Lepisosteus oculatus: one gene and its partner. The protein of the gene in region 2 interacts with the protein of the main gene of each other region in a biochemical or structural test. Links are inferred from orthologs where the notes say so. Each region holds a gene or a part of one and is shown on either strand. Other genes may lie near its edges.

Region 1 (7,705 bases), on a different chromosome or scaffold from region 2:
CATTAGTTTCTTTTTAAAATGTTTTCAGTTAATCCACAATGAAATGAATCTCAAAAAACATTAAACTTCTCAGGTTCAACAATGCTGAACATCAACCACCAGTTTATGAATTTCACACAATGGAAGACAAACTGTAAATCATTTCAATGATTCAAACTTGATATTTCACATTTCCAGTTATTTCAGTACTAAGCACTATTAGAAGCAACAAAACAAGAACAATTAACATTACAAAACCATACTCCATTCTATAAAAATGTCCATATGCAGCTTTTTAATCCACTATGTTTGGTATGGGCCACTGAGTTGATAATGTACTATAATTCTTACAATCTTAGAGAGAGAAAATAAGTGCCAAATATTGTTTATTTTGCAAGTTTATTCTGGCATTTACACCGTTTGAATTATTTTATATATAATTTCATATATATATATGCTGTTGATCAAGCTACTGCAATTACTATTAAATGCAGTTTTACACAAACAAAATTTTATAAGCTGAGCTTTCTTTTATTGTTTTCATTGTTGTTCTTTAAGGAAAGAGCTAAACATTCTTTGATGATCTTATGGACTCACAACCTTTAACCAAGTGACACTTAAGATTGAGAAAAAAATGACTTAAAAGTCAAATTAAAGGCCCCTTACAGTGTGTGCGTTACTGATCTTCTTGACGTCCCATTGCCCATCCCCGGAGTAAGTGAGCAGCGATATTGCACCATCTGAGCTGCCACAGGCAAGAATCAGTCCGAAGTCATAGGGCCCCCAGCACACCGAGTTTACTTCAAGTACGAGACAGAGACACAGGGCAGCTTTTAGAAGGCAACCATGCACCACAAGTACTTACTGAGATGCAACCACTTTATACACACATGCTTTTATTACATCTCCCTTATCTTATTTTCATAATAGAACCTTCAAGTCTTTTAATTACTCGACATTTAAGACATTACCAAAGATCAATAACAGTATTTAGGGCACTAAAGATCCATTGTCAAGACTAACCCATTTTAATTAAAGTTAGCTTATTCAATATTACTTCAAAGGTCTCTTTTTTGGTTCATTTTGCTAATACAAGTGGCGATTATCCTGTTAAGGTACTGGTAGAAATTTAGCATGTGTACAATGTAAAATCATGTTTTTCTTCTTCTGTAGACAAATGTACAAACATTTCAAGTTCGTGCTTGATGTAAATTCCACTTTTCTGCCACTGTGCATGCAGAACGAGAATTGCCTTATACTTCAACCTGTTATCTTGTCTCTGTCATTCACAAGTAAAGACTGAAATCAAAGGTAACGTTCAAAAGCTAAAACAGGGAAAAGATATTGGTGTAATCGTCTGGCCTATTTGTGGCAATGGTTATATTGCCTTACAAAAAGGTGATATGAAGTTATCATTAACTTAAGAAAAATACCCCAAGTGCTGGACAGCAAATAGAAAAAAAACTAAAATGGTCCGCAAAAAGGTGAAATGCAGCAATAGCCTGTCAGTTAGTCTGTCTACCTGAAGATTCATGGCCTGTGTACTCATACATCTTGTCCCATGTGCCGTTCTCCTCTTTCCATATGATCACCTTCTTGTCATAGGAACAGGACGCTAAAATGTTCCCGTACATTGGATGAGCCCAGGCCACTTGCCAGACTGGCCCTTCGTGACTGTAGGAAAGTAAGGACAAAATGCTTCAGTATTATTATATTTTCATAATCAGCAGAAATGTAAAAAAAAACTAACAAAAGAGGTTCTCAAATGTTTCCATGAAAGGATAGAAGTTTACAGCTACAAAATAACCATTTACACAATCAAAACACAAGTGAGGCACATGGCATAGGAGTGAGCGCCACCTAATTACACCCAGGAGCACAGCCTCTTTAAGGATTGTGCGTGGTTGCCTCATGTAAAGGATAAAACAGATGATTAAGAACAGACACTACCTGACTCCTCTGGGAATAAATCTCCCAAGAAGCAAAATACTTGTCTGAAAAATACCACTGAACTAGTAACGGTGAGAAAACCATCCCAGAACTTACCCTCTCAAATCGGCAACCAGGATCTGACCTCCGTTTTTCACATCAAATATTTTTACAGACCTATCGGACGAGCAAGTAGCCAACTGGGTACCATAGTAGTCCATCTGAGCATCATGCTGGCAAGAGAAAAAAATACATGGCAAAGAAGATAAGGGCAGACAGGGTCAGGTAGTGTCCAAGTGCTGAAATTCTGAAACATAAAACAGCTGGACACCTTCAATTCCTGGCTGCTTGACAAAAAAGTATAGTACAGTAGAAACTTTTAACAACTAACAACAGACAATAACTAATAGAGGACTTTTTAACGAAGTATAACGAAACTGCATTCTTCAGCGATCTCAAACCGCTCAACTAAACACACAACAGTGGTTATTTAGCATTTCACATAATTACGAAAAGCAGTAATACTCACGATCATGTCCTCATGGGACGTGTCCACAGTATTTATAACTGAAACCTAAGAGGGAAAATTGCATAACTATTAATATTACAATGTAGAGGTTACTTATGAAACCAAACCTTTTTTTTAGTATATTAAACTGTGGTTCCTAATGAACAAAGCTAGCAACTAGGCAAAAACAACAATATGACTCTAAAGACGCCGTGCAAATTTATAAAGCGACTGCACGCAATACTGCTATGTATTGTTTTCAATATTTTGTTTACTAATTACTGAAAACATAAATCAATACAGGAATGTCTCTACAATCACAGGTCGGCAGTTTTTCCAAACCTTAGGCGCCTGTTATCTCAAAGTCCAACATCTACGTTTAGACGTGGCGATTGTCGTTTCGTAAATCAACGATTTATGACATTCATCCTCGTCTTTAAACGTGCTTCAGAAATCTAGATATTGCTTCAACTGTTATTGAAGCTATAACCGTAAGTGTAAAATCAAGCATTTTTTTCAATGAATGAGATACATTCTGCAAACCGATCAAAAACTTTAAATGCAATCGCCATCATGAGACTTCTACCAAGGATTAAAAATAGATTTACTCACCATATTTGTGCTGACTACTGTTAAAATGACCGCTCTTATTAAAAACAATTAATAAATTGGATTTATAATATCTCGTTTAGTCAATTTTGTCTCCCGCTCCAGCCGTTTTCCTCTCTTAGACGTGGCAACTCCACTTCTTCTCTAACTCAACTCCACTTCCGGGAGCATCCCCACTCCTTCTGTCGGGCTACAACAAGGAGCGACGATACAGAGTTCCGAGCAAACATTGATACTCTGTTTACAAAGTTCGCAGTCTACATGGCGTAATTTCACATTTAACACAAGTGGCATTATCACAGTTCTTGCAATACATTTTATCGTCAAATACAAACATGACCAAGTATTTCCTTCCAACGTAAAGGGGCGAACAATTGTTTTTAATTACTAAAACAAACCCATTATGTCAAGAGAGCCATACATATTACCTATATTATTACATAGACAAATAATCGTAAATAACCATAGTAAATTTTCTTTTTTAATTAAAAGGTGACGTAAAACTAAAACACTACCTGGAAGACAGGACCGTACTGTGAGTTCTAAAAAGTATGACTTTCTTGCAATAGGCGTTAATACCACTTGGCGGTGCTAGTAGCGAGTCAATTTGTAAGCTATTTATATCGCTGCGTGCCGAGTATCAGGTTTTCCAGTTTGTTCTTACCCTGAAGCGTCACTCTTGTCTCTCCCTCGCCATGTTCTCCATGTAAACTAAAAGAAATTTCTGCTATACTTACTTAAAAGATTGTAGAGTGAATACAAGTTTCAAAGGTAAACTCAAAAGATGGCCAGTGTGACTTATCATATCTCCAACCTACTGGAGAAAATGACATCTACTGATAAAGATTTTAGGTAAGACTGTATTAGTTTGCATGTTTTAATGCAACCTAGAGCATAGCTAAATTAAAGGTGAAATGACATTGGAAATGTCTGTCAGCTGAGCGTCTTACATTTTGCTTCAGTCCATCCTCACATTTTAAGATGGATTTAAGTGTGTGGGATTATTAGCCATAATATTTTTTAAACGTCAGGAAATTTGATATGAATATTATGTGGTACTAAACTTTTTGCCTGCAGTAAAATTAATTAACTTGAAAAATAAACATACAACATTGGTTTATGGAAATGGATAGTTGTAAAACATATTTTAATGTCAGAGTGACTGGTATTATGTGGTCTCTAATTCCACATCTAATTTAGATGACAGTTGTTTCATACAAAGGATAAAATCCTTCATGCATTTTGTTTTCTTGAAATATATTTCTTCTTCTTGTGTATTCATTATTTATATTCATTACTGAAGACAGTTCAGAACCCTTGCCAACGGTTTATAAACAGAGTATTAGCAGACATATAAACCATTTACAACATCAATAATAATGATTCATTGAATTTTTCTACTACTTTTAAATATAAAGGATCCCAAAGTGTATTACATGAAGAAGGGAACCCACTTAACCCACCACTGGTGTAAAGCAGCCAGCTGGGTGACTTGTATTAGTCATTATGCAGAAGAAGTCACTTACACAGTAGATCATTGGAGAAGTGAGAACTATGAGATTTCTATGACTGCTTTAGATAAAAGGACTCCCCAATGTTTCTATAATCCTGGTCATAGAAGGCGAGGGTGTCTGCAGGTTTTGCAGGTCTTTTGAAAGCTTCATCATCTGAAGAGATGGGTGAGATTGATATATTTTCTGTTGAGACAATGATGACGTGATTTAGGTTATGCAGAGCTGCGTGTGGACATCACTGCTGTTACCCCTGTGAACAGTGTAACACCCATCACCTCACTCAAACCCTCCCTTTCTGCTTTTTGGATTTCGCCCCTCGGAGGTCTGGACATCTCAGAAGAAAGTGTCAGGGGCCTGTTGGAATAGTAGTGGTGCTGATTATGACAGTGGTGGGTATCTGCTTTCAGATTCATGGCCACCAATGACTTGATGATGGAGCTCCAGAAAGACTCCATCAAGCTAGATGAAGACAGTGAGAAGAAGGTGGTTGCGATGCTCCTGAGGCTGCTGGAAGATAAGAATGGAGAGGTTCAGAACCTTGCAGTCAAATGGTGAGTGAGCTTAATAAGTATCCACAATCCTTTAAATCCCATACCGCTGACAGGGAATTATAAACAACCGACATTCAGTGTGATTTTCAAAGAGGTTTTTGCTCCAGAGCTGACTTTCTGAAACTCATGTAAACAGTCAAGGTGCAAATCTAACAAGAGAGAAAGCGGTCATTGAAAAGAGTTGTGTTAATTTTCCTAAGAAACAATAGTTGGACTAAATATTAAACTGGAGCAAATTCTAAAAACGTCAAGGGCATATATCACATTCAGGATAAATTAAACCAGTGTATCACACAGAAAAAAAATGTTTGCAATGAACAGACAGCTGTTACTGTTGATTTTTCTGTTCTTTGTTTTGTGTGTTTAAGCTTGGGCCCACTGGTGAGTAAGGTGAAAGAATACCAGGTGGAGACCATTGTGGACACGCTGTGTTCCAACATGCTTTCAGATAAAGAGCAACTACGAGACACTTCAAGTATGGGCCTGAAAACAGTCATTGCTGAGCTTCCTCCATCCTCCAGTGGTAAGAGATTTCATGATCTTATTACGATCAGCTATAATGAAGGTATTGATTCTTTCAGCCATCTGCTGTTCATCCTGATGTCATGGATTTCACCAAAAACTAACTGTGTTAGGGTGAGTGTTACTGCAGGTATTAGGACTGGGGTTGGAGATTTCATAGAGATGTTTGCATACCCAAGATGCCATGGATAATGATGAACTTCCAAGTGAACAATTTGAAATTGTAATTTTGAAAATCCACTGCTCGTTATCAAGTAAATTAATCTTAAAATTTAAAAATCTAAAACCAAACAGTTAACATTTTACTCCAAAAACGTACAGTGATGGAATCTGTAAAAATAATACTACATTTTTCAGGGTCTGCTCTGACAGCAAATGTGTGTAAGAAAATAACAACACAGCTGACATCAACCATTGGGAAAACAGAGGATGTGTCCATACAGCTGGAGGCACTGGATATCCTCTCAGACATGCTGAGCAGGTAGGAGACGTTCACTCTGTGTCACAGAAGTGATTTGTAAATCTTCACTGTAGTTGTATCTTACTTAAATGAAACTTTATTATATTGTCTTCCACTATTTGTTAGTTTTATCTGGCATCTCCACTCTTATCCATGTCTCTGGAATGATTATTTTAAAGCACTGACTAAAAAAATAATTTTTAAAACAGTTTTATAGCACTTACCAGCTTTGCTAGTTCTGTTCTATTAGAGAAGAAAGGTCACACAAAGGCTTTGAAGCAAGGCATTTCCTTAGCTGACTTTTTCATTATTGCTTTAAATAATGATCTGAATACTGTAGGTGGTTATTTTCCTTGATAAAGATGTAAATTACATTCTTCTCAGTCTAATACAGAGACCTTTGAGGCCATTGCCAGTATACAAGTAATGGTGTGTATTTCAACACACTCAGATGCTCTACCTATAATTCCAGCCTGAACCTTGAAACTCATCATCTGCTCTTATTTATCTTGATGAACAGTATTGTGCTAATATAAGCAGTATGCACAACACTGGACCCTGGACGTCTCGGGGGACATTGTCAATTCCTGACCCCATATTCATCTCTTATATCCTTTCTGCCCACAGGCTGAGTGGGACCCTCATGATCTTCCACCCTTCCATTCTGAGCAGCCTGCTGCCCCAGCTCACCAGCCCCCGCCTGGCAGTGAGGAAGCGGGGCATCATTGCTCTCAGCCACCTGGTCCCCAGCTGCAGCAGTCCTGTCTTCACCCAGCTCATGGATCACCTGCTGGCCGAGCTCACCCGAAACGCCTCCACCTCCACCACACGTACCTACATCCAGTGTGTGGCTGCCATCAGCAGGCAGGCCGGCCACAGAGTGGGTAAGACAGCGTCTCTTAAGAGTAAATAAGTTCTTCCAATTCAGGTTTTTATTTTTTGTTAAACCACTTGTCTTTTAACAGATCTGGATCTGAAATGTTTTAATGAAATCTGATAAGCTCTATATACAAATATATGTATACAATGTGTACATATAATAGTTCCTACTAGTCAGTGGTAAAAAAAGGGACAGAAACAAAGATTCTTAAAATAATAATAATAAGTTGTATAATTACGAATGTTTTCATTTTCTCCTTGCTAATAAAACAAACTAAACAAATGAGGAAACATTGTATTGAGATATCACCTGGTACAGAAATATCTGAATTGGAGTACATAGCTGGTTTCAGTAGTAAAGAATCTAAAGTTTAATGGCAGTTCTTAATTCCTTATTGCTTCTTAAGGCTACTTTGTGTTTACACAATCAAAACTAAATGATAAAATTTAACATTCAGTGATGGGACATGTTGCCAAAGCTAGACAACAACTCCCCATTATTCTTTAATTCAGCCACTTTTAGATCACATAATTATTGGCCTTGCTATTTTCTGTAAGCAATTTCCTCATGTGCATTTTATATGCCTTATTACATACTTTCTTAGTGTGATAAAATACAAACTGGGTTGCCAATTGCTATAACTACTTTCTTGTCCTTGTTCATGATTCTTCAGTGGAAATATATAATGGGCTTCACTTACCTACTGAAGTCTATACAATACTGTACCGTACTATATCAAAACATTTTTGATTT
Region 2 (7,695 bases):
TCTCCATATCTCACTGTCGTCACTTGACAATAAAGCAACTAGTAAAAAAAGAATTAACACCCTTTTTCAAAACATGCTTTACCTTCTCGACGATTGTACAATTTAATGCACTCTCGGGTAATACAAATCTCTTTACCAGTTGTGTGAAGTTCAAACATTATGTGTGACCACTATTGTTTAAACAAGCAGGTTAAATATATTGTGGGGGGGGGAGACACTTCCGTATATTTCAACAGGTTGAACACCTGCATCATCGCTAAACTGTATTTCCAGACCGGAAGTAGAAAACTCCCAAGCAACCACGCGTATTGTCCACATTTTCTTTACGTCATTGGCGTCTTTTTACGACCTACCCATACTGCCCCGCGGAGCTCATATAAAACCCCTAAATTGTGAGCGTTAGCTCCTTTTTGATGCTGGGGTGAGAGGAACAAAGTAGAAGACGATGTGGAAAGCTGATCCTAGGGGTGGCACATGTGGTGTGCTGTGCAATGCTGGCGTATGCACAAAAGATTATTTCAACGATGTGAGACAAAAAAGAAGACGCGTGGAGGAGAAGGGAGCACGGAGTAAGTTACAGCAAGTCGGGTTGCGGTAGGGGTCGGCAAAATTATAGTTATCTGAGCAATATGTTTGCACCCTTTCCTCTGGTTATGTACTTAATTAGCGCAATAATGATTACGATGATACCCAATGTCGCCTGTGTCCGATGATTTTAAACTCTTTTCTGCTGTTCACATCATGAAGCATTGTGATTACGATTTATCTAGTTATATGAGGACACGGGCTGACTTCGGTTTCTTACCGCGCCTATTTAGGCGACACGAAAATCTGGCCTGACTTAGTTGTCGTTCTTATTAACCGATTCCACTTGGTGAAGGATCTTGTCTGTAAGAGTTCATTCTGTGTTCCATTGTTCTGGTAAATTGTTATAGTTTCCAAGCCACGTTTTATTTGAAGTTGGCGCTCCTCCCCCAACACCAACGATGAGCTCTAAACATCTTTTGTTTCCCTTCCAGATTCCTTCGTTGCCCATTGAAAGGTCTTGATCCTTTTGGAGATGGAGTGTAATTGAAGTTTGCAAGGTAATTTACGAGCGCCTTTTTTAACAATGAAGCGCGGTATATTCCTTCACGCACGTGTAATGTCCCACAAACCTCACGCCGAACAGAACACAAAGGAATTGAGTGCTAGTGTCAGTCTAACTTGTCTGAACTTCTTTAACAGTAGTTAAGAAGGATGTAGGGCAGCATCCGTTTCTTGTAAATTCAACACAAGTCTCCCGTTACTAAATCCTAAGTGCAGGAAATGGCGGAGTCAATCGTGTGGCTCAGATGAGGGAGTACGATTAGAATGAAATCGTTTTTTTAGGGTACAGAGCACCAGCACTGTTTTACCCGAGCTCTCCCGTATCCGAGTTGAGAAAATTAATAAAGGTTTCAATTGTGCAGCTTGTTAAAACAAATCTCAGCTCGATTAAATAGACAGCTCAGATTTAGGCTTTGGTTTCCTTTAAAATATCACAGAACTGCTGAACACAATTTTTTGCCATGATTTTTAATAAGCTGTGATTCTTATTAGTTTTTCTTCTTGTTTCTCTTCCTTCAGAACAGGAGCACTTCACCCTACTGAGGTTAAAGGGACTGTGGGGCTGCACTGTCTGGTACCATTATCTCCACTCGGCAGGTGAGCCATGGAGTCACTGTACACATCACAGCCAATCTGACTGGCCCAGTGATTATAATCAATCACTACCCATCTGACCCTCCTCTGGGGGGAGGATTAAAACTTGTATATGAGGGTGCAGTCAGCTGCTGGAAATCCTTTGTCGTGGAGGCCCCGATTAGTCATTGCGTCATAAAGGCCTCTGGAGAAAAATGTTTATTTTAAAATGTAGCAAATGTTTTTGGCTGTAGTGGCCAGATCTTGGTGCAGAAGGGCCACATAGCGGTCATCTAATTTCATTTTTAAGTACATATCTTGTAAAATGGAAAGATGGGTTAGTTTGAGATCTATAAGTGGTTTAAGAAACTTGCCATTGAGAGGACTGGCCAGTGGTGCTTATATACCCATGTGCTAGGCTCTATTACTGTGGGTGTCTTGCAGTACACCGTAAAAGGACACAAAGGACCTGGCTTCTACCAAATGCTAAGTGTACACTAAGCGAGGCCACAAATGCTAACTGATGGCAGTATTTGCTATTGCATCTTGTGGCCTCCTGGCATTCTATCAAGCAGCATCTTCAAAGAAACCCATTTATTTGTCATGTATTTTGGGATTCATATTCACAGTGTTGTCTCGGGACTGTAGGACTGCATTACAGTGCATTGAGGAACTGGAATTTTAACTATTATCCTTCATGCACACGCCTAATAGTTGGAAAATCTCTCAGCCGGGTTTTCATGTTGAGCCCAGTGAAGGAAGCCTTCCACAGATGGTGTCTTGCTGGTGACCATGAGGTCAATCTGGCAGTGCAGGGGGGGGGATCAGGGACGAGCCAACAATCTTACAAGTGTGTCCATAGCCTTGTGTGGAAATGGAAGGAGTCTTCAGTCTACATCTCGCAGAACTAAAATATCAATTCCTAATGGGAGGCAATGAAGTCCGTTGAATGTGTTGGTGATCTTGACATTCTTATCTTTGCAGTGTTCCTGGGGATTACAGAGGAGTCTACACGAATGCTCTAGACCTGCTTTTGCCTGGTTTGAAGACCAGCTGCTTCTGATCTTGTGGGGAATCCTCTCATTTGCAAATGTGGGGGGCCATCTTGACCAATTAACCATGAAAAAACAATAGGCTTCTCACATCCAAGCCCTTTTTTTCATGGAAGCCGGAATATCGGCTTCAACATGGCATAGGGAACAAGCCAACCAGTCCTCAACCCATCGGCCATAAACTTGTGTTGCAGACATTTCAACAACCATGTAAAACAAGAGCCCTGGTTTTGGTTTATTAGAAGCTGTTTTCAGAGAAGTATGTGTGTAGAGACGAAATCAATTTTAGGGTGTTGCAGATAAGGTCACATTAATGTAAAAATGAGATTTCAAACATTATCCAGGAATTCTTATATGGCTTTATATATATATATGTGGAGCCTTTTGGTTCTCACACTAGTTATTTTACCACAAGAGTTAAGTTCTTGTAAATTCTGGTAATATTCCAGGCTTACTCTGAAGCCTTAATTCTTAAGTGTAATGTAATTTTGTGCCAAATAAATATCTTTAATGAAACATGACTGCAGTTCTTTGAATTTCTTGCCTCAAGCCAATGTCTTATTGGGTAACCAAACACTACGTGTTCTGTGCGTTTATAGCTATCAAAATGGATCTGGATATCTGGGTACAAGTCTTTTCCACATTAATGATGTCTTGATGTGAGCCAAGTGTGCACATTTTGGAATTAACCATGAGCAAATGCTGATCACCTGGCCTCACGTAGACCAAGAGATCATTCAGTATTGGTTTATATTCTGTGGAATTTACAGGGCATCTTTTTTTTTTAGAAGGGTCTGAAACAATGTAGGTTTAGAAACAAGTAGAGGGTTATTACAGGCTGAAACATTTCTGCTGTGGAGCCTTCTTCAGGTGTGTCCCAAGCTGAAATGTTTTTCCTTTTTTCAGCATGGAATAAACCTTTACATGTTCCTTTGCAGGTCATGCAGCTACCCACTTGAACTACATAGGTTTAGTTTGTCTAAAGCCTCCCAAGAACCTTTTTAAAGAGATTGTGCTGAGTTGGGAGACAGATTAATTGAAAAGTAGTTATCCTAGCAATGCTGCTTCAGCAGCAAACCTGTAAAACAATGCCCCCTTTCATAGACCTAGTGGAGGCAAAAGATTACATGAAAACTATAGTTTGATAGCGTGTTGCAGTGGATTTCCTGTTAAGGTAATGAAAACATGTTTGGGAGCTGCTTCAGAGCATTTGGATTGTTAAAGTAAACCAAACATGATTAATTGAAATAACATCTTTAAATAATGTACTTTAATTGTTGAGTGAACGTTTTCCATAAGATTGATATGATTTTACATCCAATTTAATTTTGAGAATTGAAATGAGTGAAGAAAAATGAAAAAATCTCCAGGGTTTTAGGCTTTAATTTATTCTGACATGCATAAATGGATTATAAACATCTTTACAGAACAACGTGGAAAAGGTGAGATCATTTTTTGTGACATTACATTCCTGCTGGAATATAATCATTAAGTTATTGCAAATATATATTTAAACCATGTTTTTCTAATTTTTTGTTTCTCCCCTTCTGAAAAGTACCAAAAAATACGTGGTATTTTACAATTAAGGTTTTAGTAAATGGCGTCGCAAAAGATGCATCCATGCGATAATATTTTAGAAATAAAAAGTGAATGAAAAAAAGATTAAATTATACAGGCATTTTCTATTTGTGCAATTCTGATTGTTGCAAACCTATTAACTTCATGTGTCGGTCCCCGAGCAAGGACCGTCTTGAACCCTGGGAGAGAGATCCGCGTTCTCCTCCGCCGGCTGCGAGAGCACCGTCCTGCTCCGCTCGCCGGAAGTGCTCAGTGTGAGGGGTGGAGAGAGGATTGCCACGTTGATGGGGACGTGGACTTTGTTGAGTCGCAGCCGTAAACCTGCAGCCGGGACCAGAAATAATAAACCCCGTAACAACCAGGAAAGGGAACCTGAAGGATAAAGGGGGGAAATATACGATTTAAAGTGGATCAAGAGCAGGCTGACTTCTGATATTTACTTTTTTTATTTTAAGCAATCAACGTACTGTGCACGGAAGGTAAGGGGACTTTCGTGGAAGATATTCCACTTATTTGTATTACTGCTCGGTACCACTATACCACCAGCCTTCATTCAGGGAGAACACTGAATTTGTTGATCTGCATCCTAGGCCTCAATGCATTCAGGTCTCACAGCTGCAACGCCGGGCACCAGTGAATATTACAAATCCACTCTCGGTTTTACGTGTATGCTTTGCAAGTATTCCTCCGGTTACGCGACGTAAAACCGTATTTTTGGACGCAGCTTCATGCTGCCCCGCAGTTTCCTGTCGACTTTGGTCTTTCCGTTTCATTCATCTAAAAAAGGTAAAAGTTTGCATGAGTGGCGTTTTGGAGCTGTGGTTTTCTGTTCAGCATTAATGTGCTGCTTTACGAAAACAATTTGTGTTTACAGTATTACCCCCCCCAGCGAATCACTGGGAAAAAAAACAGTGCTTGTTGGCACAGATCTATGAATTAGACCAGTCGTAAAACTTCATTTTTTTAACAGATTAAACGTTGCTCTTTAAAAGAAACGCGTTTTTAAAAGGATCAAGGAAATCGCTTACTGTTGTTTTCATATTTATATGTTTTACCACAGAAACGGCAATTCGGTGCCAAAACGCTGTGGCTAGTTATCTATTGAGCCTTTGCCCTCTTGTGTATCGCTGCATACGGTTCACAGACTGTGGCCAATGAGAGTGTAGAATAAAACATTTTTTAATACAATTTCGACCTCGTTATGGTCTTTGTTTGAATATTTGTAATTTCACAAATAGTAATTCCTATTCATAATTACATTTTAATCGCACTTAAATTTAAGTCATTTAAAAAAGAATTATTGCATTTCACTGTGGTGAAATATTTAGGCGTGGTGAGTCTTTTTCTCTGTAAATGGCTAATTTTAAGTATAAACAATGTTTTAACAATAGGTTTAATCATATAAATGTTAATTCTCTTCCCTAACTAGAACTCCCTGGGACTGAGAAGATGTAGTACATGATTTAAAGATTTATATGACATAAGAGTTCTTTCTTATGACCTGTTTGAAAAAATGTGTCTTAAAAGTTAATGGAGAAGAATTTAAAAGTGTGAGAACTAGTTGGGATGAGAATCTTACAAAACTGCCCTAAAATTTCGTATTTAATAAATTGTTGTGCTCTGGCCTTTACGAAAACCATATTAGACCTGCTGCGTATGCAGTTCTGGGTTTCCAGCCAAGTCTTCTCAGTTATGGCATTAGCCAGTGATTTGCAAATAAAGCCATCTGAGAGGAGAGTTAGTGATTCTGGGTTACTTATAATTAAGAGTGTTGCGGTTGGCAGAGTTATCATCCTACTATACATATCATACTACTGACTTCAGGCTACCAACTAGGTTCATTGTGCAATTTTTGATTACGTCACATTGCTAAAATATGGTATAATCAGCCTTAAAAGCACATATATTGTCTGGGTTGAGGGTCCCATTTTCCCCTGTATGCTTTGTACGTATTGCATCCACATTTTAGCCAATGAATGATTATTCCCAAACACACTATAAGGTTCTTTTACTTAATGGCATGTTGGTGAGTGGGGTAGGTCTGACGTTGGACCTGTGGGTTTGTGCCTGTTGGGAAGGACTTGCACATGCTGGTCTTTCTGTTGTGTGACCTCCTCTTCTTGTTCTCGAGTGGATGTGAGCCAGAGTGGGCAGGCTATATTTGAACTGGAGTCCTGATAACCCTGATGTGACCTCATTAACTTGAATTCGTATAGGGAGCTGATGTCTCATCTAGTGCCTTAGTTTCTTCTGTGCAGGTCATTTGACTTGTTAGGTCTCAGCATGAGGTCTAACTGTTTCTTCAAAACTTTGTCATTAGGTGCTTTTGGCAAAGTTAAAGGTCACTGATGTATTCTAATATTTCTCCTTTAAACCTCAGCATTGTCCAAAATGTGTTTCTGTGACATTCAAATTAACTCAGTCAAATTGTTTAAAAATGGTGCAGTTAATTATTTCTCTAATTAGTGATTTGTTTTTGCCCCTTGGGCAACTACAGCTCTTTACTGAGTTTTGCTCTCAGCATCACTGTCTCTCATTTAAAAACATCAAGGCTGATTTTAATTGTTTTCTGCTGACATCTGTGATTACAGTAATACCCGAATTACAACCGAGAAGGGTTACCGTTTTAACTTATAATTTATGTCTCCAAGCCCATTCATGGCTTGGCTCTTGTGTTTTATGATCTATGCATTGCTGTGTGAAAATTAACTTGCAGGTTATTATTAATGTTTGTAAAAATCTATTATGCAATACTGTTGTAAATGCTAAAATCCATTTTTGTACTACTTCATTCTAAAGTTCCTTTTGCATTTTCCATTAAATAACTTTTTAGAAATTGATTATGTTTTAAAAAAGGGAGCTAAATGTAAATAAGCAGATTATTATTTATTATATTTTTCTTTGTAAGCTGTAGTGTCTGTTGATAAAATGGGGCCTGTGCATCATTAGAAAGCTCCACCTGATGACCTGCAGGTCTGAACTTGTCCTCAGAGTTTTCTGTGGACTTTGGTGGCAACATGAAAAACACTCGCACAAAAAATAGTGTTTATTTTGGAATATCTTTCCAACAGGACCACGGAACTAAAATTACCACTGATGGCATAAGCATTGTTATCCTGTATCTTGGAGGCAGACAGTCCTTGAGTACAAGATTCCTGCAGATTTTAGATTTATCTTCCAAAAATGCTTGAATAACATCTTGAAAATGCAGATTTCATGCCTACTAAATTAGCTGAATTAAGTTCTGTGATGTTTTTACTCCTTCACGGACCGTAATCAAATCGTTTTTGATGACCACACATTACTTTAAACATGGTTATTGATAAGTTTTTCTTAAGATATTCATATTGGTCATTGCATGTATCTAAGTGCTCATTTGTCCTTGAAAGTTATAGCTACAATC

Evidence for each region.
Region 1: the proteins of sec31a (region 2) and sec13 form a complex in vitro, tested with the Homo sapiens proteins (2 studies listed by BioGRID and IntAct, with this or other methods). The link is inferred for Lepisosteus oculatus from reciprocal best matches to the Homo sapiens genes SEC31A and SEC13.

Annotation. Positions count from the first base shown.
Region 1 is NC_090699.1:58,913,361-58,921,065, reverse strand, and holds the start of sec13 (protein SEC13 homolog), read right to left. Parts: upstream 3,229-7,705; 5' UTR 3,032-3,228; coding exon 3,029-3,031; intron 2,483-3,028; coding exon 2,438-2,482; intron 2,142-2,437; coding exon 2,026-2,141; intron 1,654-2,025; coding exon 1,502-1,653; intron 780-1,501; coding exon 646-779; intron 1-645. Other genes in the region: cand2 (cullin-associated NEDD8-dissociated protein 2), read left to right, coding at 3,810-3,877, 4,947-5,090, 5,459-5,613, 5,970-6,093, 6,700-6,956. UniProt on the Homo sapiens protein: Functions as a component of the nuclear pore complex (NPC) and the COPII coat. At the endoplasmic reticulum, SEC13 is involved in the biogenesis of COPII-coated vesicles.
Region 2 is NC_090698.1:27,495,299-27,502,993, reverse strand, and holds the start of sec31a (protein transport protein Sec31A), read left to right. Parts: upstream 1-4,523; 5' UTR 4,524-4,771; intron 4,772-7,695. UniProt on the Homo sapiens protein: Component of the coat protein complex II (COPII) which promotes the formation of transport vesicles from the endoplasmic reticulum (ER).